2 linked regions of the Anolis sagrei genome follow. The protein of the gene in region 2 binds, or shares a complex with, the protein of the main gene of each other region. Links are inferred from orthologs where the notes say so. Each region holds a gene or a part of one and is shown on either strand. Other genes may lie near its edges.

Region 1 (7,692 bases), about 6.3 Mb from region 2:
CACCTACTGATGCACATTCAACAACCACCTACAAGGTGAAAACAAGAAGACAGATGCTTTTTTGAGCTGGTATTCATTGGTAGTTTCCCATCCAAGTGATAATCAGTGCTGATCCTGTTCAGCATCCTAGATGAGACTGGATCTGGGGCCTTTGCAGTATGCACAACTCACAATACTGTGAGTCATTAGGGTTTGGTTCCAGGCCTGCTGTTGATACCAAAATCTGTGGATGCTCAAGTCCCATACTATACAGTGACATAGTAAAATAGTGTCCCTTATATAAAAAGACAAAATCAAGATTTGCTTTTGGGATTTGCCGGGGGGGGGGGGGGGGGGGAAGATATTTTTCAAGCTAGATAAAGATTTTCCACTGACATTAAGTCCAGCTGTTTCCGAGCCAGTGTTTTCCGTAGACAACACTGGCTCAAAGTCATGTGGTTGGCAGGACTGCATGGAGCACTGTTACCTTCCTGTCAGAACAGTACCTGTTGATCTACTCACATTTGCATGTTTTTGAACTGCTAGTTTGGCAGAAGCTGGGGCTAATAGCGGGGGCTCATGCTGCTCCCTGGATTTGAACCTGCAACCTTTCAGTTAGCAAGTTCAGCAGCTCAGCGGTTTAACCCACTGCGCCACGGGGTGCTTCCATTTTAAAGCTATGGATGGTCGAATCCATGGATACAGCAGGCTGATTGTGTATTATTTTTCTGAGATATTGCAGTCATTGATATTCATTATCAGTTTCTCATTCAAGATGTGACCAGAGCTGATCCTGCTTAGGAACCAAGATCAGACAGAATTTGTTGCTTTTAGTGTATTTACAGTTCACAATATGGCAATATCTTGTTGCTGAAACTATCTCCTGCACTGCCACATACATATACACCTGGAAGAAAGGACAATCTTATTGAGATATTAAGGCCTTTAGTACTCAATTGCAGTTTTCCGTGCACATTTTCTCCTACATTCCCAAATAATAGACACAACCAGCTCGAACAACCATGAGTGCATCTGCACTGTAAGGAGCCCTTGGTGGCGCCATGGGTTAAACCCTTGTGCCGGCAGGACTGAAGACTGACTGGTTGGAGGTTCGAATTCAGGAGGGTGCAGATGAGCTCCCTCTGTCAGTTCCAGCTCCCCATGAGGGAAACTCCCACAAGGATGGTAAAACATCAAAACATCCAGGTGTCCCCTGGGCAATGTCCTTGCAGTCTCCAGTTCTCTCACACCAGAAGCAACTTGCAGTTTCTCAAGTTGCTCCTGACATGAAAAAAAAACCAACAACACAGAAACATGGATGAAGCAGGACATGGGTGCATCTACGCTGTAGAATTAACACAGTTTGACACCACTTTAACTGCTATGGCTCAATGTTATGAAATCAATGGAGTTACAGTTCTACAAGGACTTGACTCTTCTCTGCCAAAGTCTGCTGGTGCCTCACCAAACTATAACTCCCAGGATTCCGTCGCATGATGCCATGGCACTTAAAGTGGTGTCAAAATGCATTATTTCTACAGCGTAGATGCACCCATGTCCTGCTTCATCCATGTTTCTGTGTGTATAGATGAAAATAATCAATGATAAGATTATGATGGGTTTTAATTCCGCATTGGATGATTCAAAACACAAAGAAACTGCATGCAAAACATGGCAAAGAAGTTGGAGAAAGGAAATGGATGGAAGCAGAACTCACACAATCACTTACAAACCCCGCATAGGGTGTGTTGTTCTTCATATTATTGTGTGCCTCCTCTCAGAACAACCCTATGATGGAGTTTTCTGTGGCTGAGAGGGTGAATTCATCTTCCACATCAGGCATGGGCAAACTTCAGTCCTCTAGGTGTTTTGCACTTCAACTCCCACAATTCCTAACAGTGTAGGTCAATGGTTTTCAACCTGTGGGTTGCCAGATGTTTTGGCCTTCAACGCCCAGAAATCCTAACAGCTTGTGAACTGGTTGAGGTTTCTGGGAGATGTAGGCCAAACCACCTGGGCACCCACAGGTTGAGAACCACTTTTGGTCATGTCAGGAGTGACTCCTGGTGTGAGAGAATTGGCCGTCTGCAAGGACATTGCCCAGGGGACGCCTGGATGATTTGATGTTTTTATCATCCTTGTGGGAGGCTTCTCTCATGTCCCTGCATGAAGAGCTGGAGCTGTTAGAGGGAGCTCATCTGCCTCTCCCTGGATTCGAACCTGCGACCTGTCGGCCTTCAGTCCTGCCAGCACAGGGGTTTAACCCACTGCACCACTGGGGGCTCCTGAGAACCACTGTCCTATGCTGTTAGGAATTGTGGGAGTTGCAGTCCAAAAACACCTGGAGAGCTGAATATTGCCCATGCCTGATCTACACTGTAGAGCAGGCCTGCCCAACTTGTAGCCCTCCATGTGTTTTGCTGGACTTCCGCTCCCAGAATTCCTCACTATTGGACAAGGGTGTTTGGGAATTGGCGCCCCAAACACCTGGAAGGGCTTCAGTTTATGCAGGCCTGCTGGGGAGTTAATGCAGCTTGACACCAATGGGGCTCAATGCTATGGGGGTTGCAGTTTTACCAGGCCAAACTATAACTGGCCAGGGTGCCAAGAGCATTGAGCAGGGAAGAAGAGTGTCAGCCAGGACGCATTCATCCCGCAGCAGCCCTTCACTTGAGATGGAGGATGCCGGCGCTAGGACCCGGGGGGAAATCCTGGGGCGCTGACGCCGCCCAGGCCGAGGCTTCCTGCCGGCCTCTGCTCCTTCCCTCTCCTCGCCTTCCTTGCCTTTACCTGGCGAAGCAGCCCTCGCAGTGGTTGCCCCTCTCGTTGACGGTGAGGACGCAGGTGAAGGCCGGGCAGGCGAAGAGCAGCTCCCCGGGGACGAAGCGGCGCCGGGCTCGGAGACCCCTGCCTCGGCCGGGGCTCTGGAAGCGCGCCAGACCCAGCTCCTCGCCTTCCTTTTCGGAGGAGCGCATGGCGCCGGTGCCGCCGAGGAGGAGGAGGAGGAGATCGAGGAAGAGAAAGAGGAGGAGGAGGAGGAGGCTGGCCCGTTGCTATTAATGGCGCGCCGTCACCCGCAGCGGCGCCTGGCCCCAGAGCCCAAGGCACATACATGGGCAGAGAGAGCGAGAGGGGCAGGCGGAGCAGCAGCAGCACCACAGCCAGCCGTCCACGGGAAGGAGGGCCGCGCCAGCCCGCTGGGTCCTAGAGCCCGTCCGCAGACATGCGCGCTCTAGGACCCAGCGTTTCCATCCCCGCCTAGGTCAAGCGTAGGCCTCGTCGGTAATAGTATGATAGCTGGGTCTGGAAGTGCAGAGCGTTACGGAGAGGCCGCATCGCTCCTTCGGGAGCGCAGTTTGTGGAAGAGAGCCTTAGCTAATGTAAGCCAGGCCGGAGACAGATACTATAGAAGGAATGAAGGAGTTCTTTAATTTATTTATTTATTTGTTTATTTACAGTTCTTATATTCCACCCTTCTCACCCCGCAGGGGACTCAGGGCGGATTACAGTAAACACATATATGGCAAACATTCAATGCCAGTTTGACAAACAACATTTAACACACAAATACACTGAGGCTATTTAACTTTTTTCTGGCCGCCAGGGGAGCTGCTGCTTTTCATCATCCATCAACGACACCGATGAAGTTCTTCCGCATTCCACATTCCCCGGAGTCTTTTTTCTTTATGGCCTCATAAATTAGTTAAATTTAGCCTCCCACACAAGGTGGTACCTTATTTTCCTACTTGACAGATGCAACTGTCTTCCGGGTTGCAAAGGTCGACAACGGGCTACACAATGGCTGGACACCCACTCCAGCCCGGGCTGGCTTCGAACTCATGACCTTTTTTTGGTCAGAGTGATCTTAATGCAGCTGACACTCAGCCAGCTGCACCACAATCCCGGTGAAGCCCTTACCCTAACCCTTACCATAACCCTTACTCTAACCCTGAACCGTACCGTAAGCCTAAGCCTTTACCCAAAACCATACCCTAACCTTTACCCAAACCCTTACACAAACCCTAAACCTTACCCTAACCAAAACCCTAACTCAAACCCTAAATCTTGCCCTAACCCAGTGTTTCTCAACCTGGTGGTCGGGACCCCTGAGGGTAGCCGGCTTCAGCCCCCCCCCCCCCCCCAAATTCTCATGGTGGTTCGCGAAACGTTCTTACTGGTACATTATTTAAACTGTTATGTTTATTCATATCATGATCTGACCACCATACTCAATATATCCCATTTGCATGGGGGTATTGGGGTAATGATACAAAAGGTTTGCTAGGCTAGACCCTCTTTCACTCAGACTCAGCCCCCCCCCCCCGCCCCCCCGAAACAAAATCCTGGTTACGGGCCTGCCCTAACCCTTACCATAACACTAATCCTAACCCTGAACTGTACCATAAGCCTAACCCTTTACCCAAACCCTAAACCAGGGGTCTTCAAACTTTGTAAACAGAAGGCCAGGTCACAGTCCCTCAAACTGTTGGAGGGCCGGATTATAATTTGAAGTAAAAAAAAGGATTCGCATGCACACTGCACCTATCTTATTTGTAGTGCAAAAACCACTTAAAAACAATACAAAAAGTAAAATGAGGAACAATTTTAACATATATAAACTTATTAGTATTTCAATGGGAAGTGTGGGTCTGCTTTTGGCTGATTAGATTGGATTGTTGTTGTGTGCTTTCAAGTCATTTCAAATTTAGGATGACCCTGAGCGAGGGCCGGGTAAATGACCTTGGAGGGGCCCCGGGCCTTAGTTTGAGGACCCCTGCCCTAAACCATACCCTAACCCAAACCCTAAACTGTACCGTAACCCAAACCCTAAACCTTGCCCTAACCCTTACCCTAAGCACCCCCTCCTTTTTATCCTTCCTTCGCTCTCCCCATGCTCACTCCGCCCCCTCTCTTCCCTTATTCACAGCCGCCTTTGCGGCATCTCCGTAATGCTCGGAGCTTCCAGACCCAGCTATCTTACTATCACCCTGGACCATACTGTAAACCTAAGCCTAACTCTTTACCCAAACTCTTACCCAAACCCTAAACTTTACCCAAATCCTTACTCTGAATGCTAACCCAAACCCTAAACCTTACCCTAAACCATAACCCCTTACCCTAACCATAACCCAAACCCTAAACCTTACCCCAACCCTTACCCTAAGCACCCCCCGCTTTTTATCCTTTGCTCTCCCTACTCTCACTCCGCCTCTTCTCTTCCCTTATTCAGAGTCGCCATTGGGGCATCTCCATAACACTTGGCGCTTTCGGACCCAGCTATTGTACTATCACCACCTCGTCTGTGCTGACCATGCATTCAATGCAGTTTGAAGCTAGCTGCAAACCGCATTGTCTGAACTCCTGTGCAAAGCTGCTTCCTATGGTGCCTGAGGGGATTTCCACACAGGCCTATAACCCAGAATATCAAGGCAGAAAGTCCCACAATATCTGCTTTGAACTGGGTTACCTGAGTCCACACTGAGATAATATGGGATTTCTTGCCTTGATATTCTGGGATATAGGGCTGTGTGGAAGGGCCCTGAGTCTGGGTGAACGATATAGCAGCCTAGATTCATGCAGTCCTGTTCAACTGCATTATATGCCATTGTAGATGGGGCCACAGAGCAAGAAACACCCACAAAAGAGTGCAAAATGAAACGCTTCAGTGCTTCATGGTTTGCGGTTCCATCTCCTCTGCCATGTAATGGAGTTTTGAAACTGCATTATGTAGTTAGTGTAGGCTCACAATGCAGTTGAATGGCATTATATGAGTCAACACCAACCTGGAATTGTGCTATGTAGTCAGTGTTGGCTCATAATGCTATTCAACTGCATTATATGAGTCCACACAAACCTGAAATTGTATTATGTAGTCAGCGTAGGTTCACAGTGTCGTTCAATGCAGTTAAATGGCATTCTATAAGTCTACACCAACCTGAAATTGTATTATGTAGTCTAGTCAGCATAGGCGCACAGTGCGGTTCAGTGCAGATAAACGGCATTTTATGAGTCTACACTGACCTGAAACTCCATTATTTAGTCAGCGTAGGCTCACAGTGTGGTTCAATGCAGTTGAATGGCATTATATGAGTCTACACCAACCTGAAACTGAATTATGTAGTCAGTATTGGCGCATAACTCTGTTCAACTTCATTATATGAGTCTAAACTGATCTGAATCTACTTTATGTCATCGGTGTAGACTCACAGTGCTGTTCAATGCAGTTAAACGGCATTACATGAGTCTATACTGACCAGAAACTGCATTATGTGGTCAGTGCAGGCTCACAGTGCGGTTCTATGCAGTTAAACGGCATTATATGAGTCTATATCGACCTGAAACTGCATTATGTAGTCAGTGTTGGCTCATAATGCTGTTCAACTGCATTATATGAGTCTACACTCACCTGAAATTACTTTATGAAGTCGGTGTAGGCGCGCAGTGCTATTCAATGCAGTGAAATGTTATTATATGAGTCTACACTGACCTGAAACTGTATTATGTAGTCAGTGTATGCTCAAAGTGTGGTTCAGTGCATTTAAATGGCATTATATGAATCTACACCAACCTGAAACTGCATTATGTAGTCAGTGTAGGCTCACAGTGTGGTTCAATCCATTTAAACAGTATTATGAGTCTACACTGGCCATATAAGGTAGTTTCAAACTGCATTATATGGCAGCATAGGTGGTGCTCATGTCATCACCATCTGGGGCCCCAAACTGATTCCAGGATTTCTGGTGTAATCATTTGCACAGCGAAACCACTTTCTTCAATACTGGTTTGAAACTAAATTAAATGGTCTGTGTAGATGGGGTCCAGCTCCTCGCTCAGAAAGGAGACCAGATTGACATTAAGCAAGTGGTATAAGGGGGAAAAAATTAAAGGGACAGGACAAAAAGTGCAGAAATATGGGCAGCTAGCCCTGTGTGGGTATGTAGGTATAAGTATATATGTATGTATATGTGTGTGTCATCCTAGCTGCCAACATTTTTGGACTCTTGTCATAATACAAGGTGTTCACTAAAAGGTATGCATCCTTGTTGTATACATTCCAGTGTACACAATCCTATATATACATAGATATATATATATACATACATTCACATATACACATAGGAGTTATACAATAACAAAGTGTATAAATCTGTATATAGGTATGTGTCTGTGCACACACACACATCTACACACACACATACGCATACATACACACACATATACACACATACACACAGAAATATATTCAATAACAAGGTTGCATACATTTTAGGGCACATTTTATTTATTTATTTATTTTATTTAAGGCATTTATATCCTGTCCTATCTCAACCACCGCAGGGGGACTTAGGGCAGCTAACAACCAGCACAGCACAGTGCCAACAACAGAGAAAAACAAGCATAAATATACATATTATAATAAAAACAATGTAAAGCATGAAAGCAGTTTGCCCTGTATATATGTATGGGTTTGTCTGTGTGTACATTTAGGGTTTTGACTTTTGCATATTTGATTGGTCATGGATTTCATTAAAATGTTCTTTAAGAAAATCTAGGTCCTTTAGTTCAATTATATGATTAAGTTACTCTAGTCATGAGGGGAAACATAAGAGAGGTGTCCTCTGTAGGAATTTCCAGGTCTTCCAATGCTATTACAAGTCCACTTCTAGCTAATGTTTTTGATTTTCACAGGAATCCCCTAACCCCAGCGAATGT
Region 2 (8,052 bases):
AGATGGGGTCATAAATATGTGATTGGACCATCTAGAGAAACTACTTCTCAAGGCACCTGTAAGTCTCCCAGTGCTTCCAAAGGAGTCAGGATAGAAGACCTAGAGATTTCTAGAGAGGTAATCCCTTAGGTAATTTTTAAAAAATTGCTCCCTTCCTTCATTTTCAGTGAATGTGGAGCATTGACTGTGTGTGTGGTTTTTTTTAATGGACTACTGTCTTGATGTTTCTGAAGACTAGATTACAAGGAGACCTTTCTCCCAATAACAAAATACAATGAAAATGTTTAGCACTCCTGGCTCCCTGGGCATCAAGATTGCAAGAACTTTCATGCAAAAGTATAGCAAGAAGTCTTGCCCAGAAAAAGTAAGGACAATGCAAGTCCTTGTATTTGCTAAGTGCTTTGAATCCATTATAACTGCTACATCCAAGAGAAAGAAAAACAGCATAATTCTGGAGGGATCTATAGACAATCCTGTTCAAACAAGTATCTCCTACAGAATTCAAAACAATATGCTCCTCTTTAAATCTACTACAGACGGACTCTGCAAATAATTTAAGTATAGCTTGAGCATTCTTTACCAAGAATTCCAAAATGACCCAAAATTATCCACATGTGTGTTTGAGATCATGAAACATTTGCTTTCTGAACTCTCTGCTCCAGAGTGTGGTGGAGGCTCCTTCTTTGGAGGTTTCTAAACAAAGACTGAATGTCCATCTGTCGGGGGTGTTTTGAATGTGATTTTCCTGCTTCTTGGCAGGGAGTTGGACTGGATGGCCCATGAGGTCTCTTCCAACTCTATGATTCTATGAACATGCCTAAAAACACTATATAGTTCAGCCTTAAACATTTTCTTTAAAAGGTAGGCGAGCGCACACCATATGGCAAAGCAGGACTATGGTTGTATCTACATCATTGAATTAATGCAGTTTAATACCACTTTAACTGGTCTGGCTCAATGCTATGGAATCCTGGGAGTTATTGTTTATTTATTGATTTACTGCAGTTGTATACCACTCTTCTCACCCTGAGGGGGGACTCAGAGCAGTGTACAGTATGGATACATAAACATGTACAATGCCAATATATTAGTGTTACTATATTACAATATTATTCTCTGTACTGATCCAAACTATCAAAATGTATCAAACCACTTATACAGTGCTTGGAACATGGCATTCTATAGCCAAAGAATGCATCTTTTCAGCAGGGCTTTTATCTATATAAATAAAAATGTAATGTTCGTTTGTGGATTAACATAACTCAAAAACCACTGGACGAATTGCCGTCAAATTTGGCCACATAACACCTACTAACCCAATGAGTGACCATCATTTTAAAAAATTGAATTTTGTCATTTGGGAGTTGTAGTTGCTGGGATTTATAGTTCACCTACAATCAAAGAGCATTCTGAACGATGGAATTGAGCCAAACTTGGCACACAGGCCTCTCATGACCAACAGAGAATACTAGCAGCGTTTGGTGGGCATTGACCTTGAGTTTGGGAGTTGTAGTTCACCTACATCCAGAGAGCACTGTGGACTCAAACAATGATGGATCTGGACCAAACTTGGCACAAATATTCCATATGCCCAAATATGAACACAGATGGAGTTTGGGGAAATAGATCTTGACATTTGGGAGGTGTAGTTACTGGGATTTATAGTCCACCTACAATCAAAGAGCATTCTGAACCCTACGAACGACAGAATTGGGCCAAACTTCCCACACAGAACCCCCATGACCAACAGAAAATACTTAAGGCTATCCAGTCCAACTCTCTTCATCAGGGCAAGAAAACATAATCAAAGCCCTCCTGACAAAGAGCCATCTAGTCATAGATATAGATATATATGACTAGCCCCCCCCCCCGCCATGCTTTGCTGTGGCCTAGTGTATCTGTGTTTTGTGTGCATATATATGTGTGTTTATGTATGTGTGTGTGTGTGCACACGTGTGGTTTTGTGCATGCATTGTAATGTGGGGTTGTTTTTTTTTTTTTTTTTGCTTTTTAAGTTTCTTTTGCTGTGTTTTTCAGTGTTTTTATGAGTGATGGCCACTCGTTGGCCTGATAGGTGTCTTGTGTCCAAATTTTGTGTCAATTTGTCCAGTGTTTTACGAGTTATGTTAAGCCCACAAACCAACATTACATTTTTATTTATACAGATTCACACACACACACACACAGAGATATAGTATCATAGATTTGAAAGGGACCCCTAAAGAAGGACAATGATATGTTTTATGTTCCAGAGTAGGTTTTATGTTCCAGACACTCTCCACATCAACACTGACAAAAAAAAAAACCCAATAAGAAATACTGTTTACACACAAGCATAAAGAAATTACATATTTTAGAAACAAACACTTTCTCATTACTTCATTTTCCAGATCACCAGACTGGGCCACAGCAACGCATAGCAGGGGACGGCTAGTATTATAATTATTTCTTTAAAAACGCTTCAGAAACAAGCTCCAATTTTGCATTGTTTTTTCGTGTTGTGAGAATCTTTTGAGTCTCTTTTTTCCAGAGAGATAGATAAGTGAAACATAGATAAATGCAATGATAATCATGACTCCCAGATGGATATCTTATCTACCCACTCCCTCCCTGCAGTGAAGAGCAGCAAAACCTTCCCAGAGGCGACATAATAAATAGAAAGAGGGGGCGTGTTCCGTGCATGAGTGATGCCCCAATTTAGGCTCATGTGCAAGAGCTGCATGATACATAGGAGTCTGCACTGACCCCAGGCTGCCCTGCGAATGGGGCCTGAGGCTGCGAGGCAACGTGGCGCTGCTCCCGGCTGCGAGAAGGAACAAGAAAGGCTGACCTGCACCATGATGGCCAGGCGGAGCGAGTCCTTGGCGATGTTGTCGCCGCATTTCTTGCACGAAGCCCGGCCGCTCTTGGCGTACTCGACGCGGTACTGCTTCTCTGCAGGCTCCGCCATGGCTGTGCTAGGAAGGGAAGGATGCGAGCAGCAAAAGCAATGGGGGCAGCACGCGGCGCATTGGAGGCTCTTGCCAGGCTCTCGCAGTTCAATGCCGAGCGCAGAGAGATCGAACCCTGCTTGGCTCTGCTCTCAATCCGTTTCGGCGATCGATTAGGCATGCCGCGTAGGAGGGAGGCTTTTAGAACGTTGCCCGGGAATCAGCAGAGCTGATTCCCGGGCAACGTTCTAAAAGCCTCCCTCCTACGCGGCATGCCTAATCGATCGCCGAAAGGGTCCTGCAAGGAAGCACGTTCTGGGAGTTGTAGTTTCCCATGTCCTGCTCAAAGGATCGTCCAGTACAATGACTAGGATTTCATTCCATCTCCACTGGCTCAATGTCATCCGATTTTGGGAGTTGTAGATTTGCAACTCATACATCATAATAAATTGTGGCAAGTTCTTGGTGGGATGGGCATTACAAGCCACCTTGTCTCTCTCCTGAGGAATCTGTATAAGGAACAAGTAGCAACAGTCAGAATAGACCATGGAACAACAGACTGGTTCAAGATTGGGAAAGGCGTGCGGCAGGGTTGTATACTTTCACCCAACCTATTCAACTTGCATGCGATGTGCGGGGCTTGACGAATGCAAGGCTGGGGTGAAAATTGATGGAAGAAACATTAACATTAGGTATGCAGATGATACCGCTGTGATGGCCAAAAGCGAGGAGGAGCTAAGGAGCCTTATGTTGTTGTTCATTCGTTCAGTTGTTTCCGACTCTTCGTGATCTCATGGTCCAGTCCACACCAGAGCTCCCTGTCGGCCGTCACCACCCCCAGCTCCTTCAAGGTCAATCCAGTCACTTCAAGGATACTATCCATCCACCTTGCCCTTGGTTGGCCCCTCTTCCTTTTTCCTTCCATTTTCCCCAGCGTCATTGTCTTCTCTAAGCTTTTCTGTCTTCTCATGATGTGGCCAAAGTACTTCATCTTGGCCTCTACTATTCTTCCCTCCAATGAGCAGTCAGGCTTTATTTCCCGAAGTATGGACTGGTTGGATCTTCTCTCAGTCCAAGGCACTCTCAGAACTTTCATCCGGCACCACAGCTCAAAAGCATCAATCTTCCTTCACTCAGTCTTCCCTATGGTCCAGCTCTCACATCCGTAGGTGACTATGGGGAATACCATTGCTTTGACTGTGTGAATCTTCTTTGCCAGTGTGATGTCTCTACTCTTCACTATTTTATCAAGATTGGACATTGCTCTCCTCCCAAGAAATAAGCATCTCCTGATTGCACGTAGAAATACAACGTCTGTCACTGCCTTCACGTTGGGTTGCAGTTATATATATATATATATATATATATATATATATATATATATATATATAAAACAAGATTATGGCAACTGAACTGATTGACAACTGGGAAATAGAGGGAAAAAACATGGAGGCAGTGACAGACTTTGTATTTCTAGGTGCAAAGATTACTGCAGACGCAGACTGCAGTCAGGAAATCAGGAGACGCTTACTTCTTGGGACCAATCTTGATAAAATAGTGTAGAGACTTCACACTGGCAACGAAGATCTGCATAGTTAAAGCAATGGTATTCCCCATAGTCACCTATGGATGTGGACCATAGGGAAGGCTGAGCGAAGGAAGATAGATGCTTTTGAACTGTGGTGCTGGAGGAAAGTTCTGAGAGTGCCTTGGACTGCCAGAAGATCCAGTCAGTCCATACTTCAGGAAACAAAGTCCAACTGCTCATTGGAGGGAAGGATATTAGAGGCCAAGATGAAGTACTTTGGCCACATCATGAGAAGAAAGGAAAGCTTAGAGAAGACAATTATGCTGGGGAAAATGAAGAGGGCCGACCAAGGGCAAAATGGATGGATGGTATCCTTGAAGTGCTTGGCTTGACTCTGAAGTAGCTGGGGGTGGTGACGGCCAACAGGGAACTTTGGCGTGGGATTTTGTTCATTTTCTTTCCCCCCCCTTTCTGTTGAAATTGTCCACATGCTCATGGATTTCAATTATTTCTCTGTGCAGTCTGATATGGTAGTTGTGAGAGTGGTCCAGCATTTCTGTGTTCTCAAATAATATGCTGTGTCCAGGTTGGTTCATCAGGTGCTCTGCTATGGCTGACTTCTCTGGTTGAAGTAGTCTGCAGTGCCTTTCATGTTCCTTGATTCGTGTTTGGGCGCTGCGTTTGGTGGTCCCTATGTAGACTTGTCCACAGCTGCATGGTATACGGTAGACTCCTGCAGAAGTGGAACGCCCTCCCCATGGAGGTAAGATCAGCCCCCTCATTGATGGTTTTCCGGAAAAGACTAAAAACCTGGATGTTCGAGCAGGCGTTCGGTTAACTCAGTGCAATAAGTGTAATGATTGAAGGACTGGCAATTTGGACTACGAAACTGGATCGCGATTTTAGTCAAGAGATGAATTGGATTGTTTATTGATATATGTATTGTGGATCGTGTTTTTATGCTTTTAAACTGTATACTGTTGTTTGTTATAAGTTGTAAACCGCGTTGAGTCGCCGGCTAGGCTGAGAAGTATAGCAAATACAAGTATAGCAAATAAATAAATAAATAAGTGAGAGGATCCCTCTTGTCCTTTGCTTAACGCAGCATGTGTTAGATCTTCTTAGTGGGTCTGTAGATTATTTGTATGTTGTGTTTCCTCCTCAGCTTCCCTATGCGGTCGATGGTTCCCTTGATGTATAGCAAGAACACTTTTCCTCTGGGTGGATCTTTGTCTTTACTCTTGTGGCTTGTTCTTGGTTTTGCAGCTCTTCTGATGTCTGTGGTGGAGTATCCATTGGCCTGTAGAGCTCAATTTAGGTGGTTCAGTTCCCCTTGGAGGAATGTCCAGTGGGAGAAAGAACTTTGAAGCTGCAAGACTATTCAATGCTAATCAAGCTGGCCAATTGCAACATTCACATTTGCCTCAAACAGACATTCCACAGATATATAAACCTCACTTGCCTAGCTTCAAACAGACCTTATACCCTCTGAGGATACCTGCCACAGATGTGGGCGAAATGTCAGGAGAGAATGCTTCTGGAACATGGCCATATAGCCTGGAAAACTCACAGCAACCCATTATTGTTGTTGTTGTTGTTGTTGTTATTGTACAGTAGAAATGCACCCCAGCAAACCTAATAAAATTATATCTTACAAAAATTACTGTAATTAACTGTGAGTAATTAACTGTGAGTAATTGAATCCATGAATTCAGAATCTATGGAATGTGAAAATCGTCTGTAAATCAGTTTGAATACCATCTCGATTAAAAAAAATATCGAAGCACTTCAAAATGCAAGGAATTTGCTTTTGAGGATCTGGATCCAAGGGCTGCAGAGTGAAAATTCCTTTTTGATGAATGTGTCTTTTGGAGTTAAATGTACCCTTAATCAGTAAACTCATAGTGCAGTTTCGCTGTACTGACCTGTATTACATAAATCATTATATGGCAGTGTAGATGGAGCCACAATGGTACTAACTTCTGAGACAACATGTCTAAGGTTATACTACTTGTAGTATTACCATTAGGTGTACACTGCTTTGCAGAACAAAGCTCCCTCAAATATATGTGAAACCCCTGAGTCAGGCTATTAAGGATTTTTTTTCAGGGCCTTCTGGCTGACTCAAGATAAAATACCGTATTGCAGCATCTGTTGTGTATCTTTAAGTCATTTCTGATTTACAAACTTCTTAGGGCAAACCTATTGCAAATTGTTCTGGCGCCAAGAGAATGTGACTTGCCCAGGGTCACTGTTGTGCTTCCGCAAGATTTCCCACTGTTTGTTCCTGTTGAACCCCTATTATGTATACAGTGTTCCCTCGCTACTTTGCGGTTCACTTTTAGCAGACCCGCTGTTTCGTAGGTTTTTGAAAATATTAATAAAAATATTAAATATTAAATATTTACATCCAGTGGACGCCAGGGACCCCAAAAGCGGCTTGAGGCATGGCAGGGAAGGCCTGCCTCCCTGGCCTCCACAGACCCCGAAAGTGTGGCGGGGAAGGTCTGCCTCCCTGGCCTGTGCTGCCTGCATGGCTCCGGAGGCATTGTGGAGGCCAGGGAGGCAGGCAGGTGCTCTTGGGATGGGCCGGGAGGCAGGTAAGGAAGCACAGATAAGAAAATAATATATAAAATATATAAAATAATGTATAAATATTAAAATTAACATGGCATCCCTTATCGCGGGTGGTCCTGGAACGGAACCCCTGTGATAAGTGAGGGAACACTGTATTTTGGGGGGTTAGTCTAGATAGCCTCTTCCTCCTTGTACTTGAAACCTCCCTCACCCTGTCCTTTTAATACTCTTCTCAGGGGCGGAGCCTCAGCCAAGACCCTCCTGGTTTCTTGAGCCGTCAGCCAGTGTAGTAGATGGAAAGTAAAGAGTAAGGAAAGTGGAAAGATCCAAAAAATGGAATGTGATGTCGAAGCAATACACCATCACATCAAAGCTTTACATTGTCACATCAAAGCCAAATACATTACACCAAAGTTTTATGCAAGTAAAGACACAAAGTAAAGCCATGTCAGAGATATAACAGACTGAAATCCAATTGAAGTCATATTAAAGTAACATCCAGTCAGAACTGTGGTTATGCTTCAAGGATTTTAACTCCCCTCAAAAAGACTGACAGTACATTCAAGAGGAGAGGAAATCTGAGATCTGTTATTTAATACATTCTTGTGTGCACTTCAAATGTGTAGCATTCATTCTGATCCCTGCACCACAGACACCTTCCAAATAAATAGCTAGTGCCAGGGCAGAACAGTCACCCAATGGGTTTGTGTGGCCCAGTGGGATTCAAACCCTGGTTTCCAGACTCGTACCCCTTTTCAAATGGGTGGTGTCCCTCACGGTGTTCTGGGTAAAGCCTGACTTTCTGTAAGAGGATTTTAGGGAGTTCATGAAAAATAGTTCTTCAGTTATGAGTAGGAAAAGGAGCAAAACACTTTCCCTATTAGAAGGAGAGCAGGATGGATGGGTATTATGGAGACCAACTTCAGTCGTTAAAATGGTTAAGCAGATTTCTGAGTATATACAATAGGATCAGAAAGAATCAAACACTTCAAAGGATACTACTCTATTATGAATAAA

Evidence for each region.
Region 1: the proteins of PARP1 (region 2) and SMYD2 are in contact, whole or in part, in a crystal structure (PDB 9CKC), measured with the Homo sapiens proteins. The link is inferred for Anolis sagrei from reciprocal best matches to the Homo sapiens genes PARP1 and SMYD2. Residues at the interface, in NP_001609.2 of Homo sapiens: Thr526, Leu527, Lys528, Gly529, Gly530, Ala531; in NP_064582.2 of Homo sapiens: Thr105, Leu108, Val179, Asn180, Cys181, Asn182, Gly183, Phe184, Thr185, Glu187, Leu191, Ser196, Ala203, Met205, Tyr240, Ile241, Asp242, Ser257, Tyr258, Asn380.

What each region holds. Positions count from the first base shown.
Region 1 is NC_090021.1:33,551,189-33,558,880, reverse strand, and holds the start of SMYD2 (N-lysine methyltransferase SMYD2), read right to left. Parts: upstream 3,044-7,692; 5' UTR 2,955-3,043; coding exon 2,770-2,954; intron 1-2,769. UniProt on the Homo sapiens protein: Protein-lysine N-methyltransferase that methylates both histones and non-histone proteins, including p53/TP53 and RB1. Specifically trimethylates histone H3 'Lys-4' (H3K4me3) in vivo. The activity requires interaction with HSP90alpha.
Region 2 is NC_090021.1:39,857,578-39,865,629, forward strand, and holds the start of PARP1 (poly [ADP-ribose] polymerase 1), read right to left. Parts: upstream 3,039-8,052; 5' UTR 2,951-3,038; coding exon 2,831-2,950; intron 1-2,830. UniProt on the Homo sapiens protein: Poly-ADP-ribosyltransferase that mediates poly-ADP-ribosylation of proteins and plays a key role in DNA repair.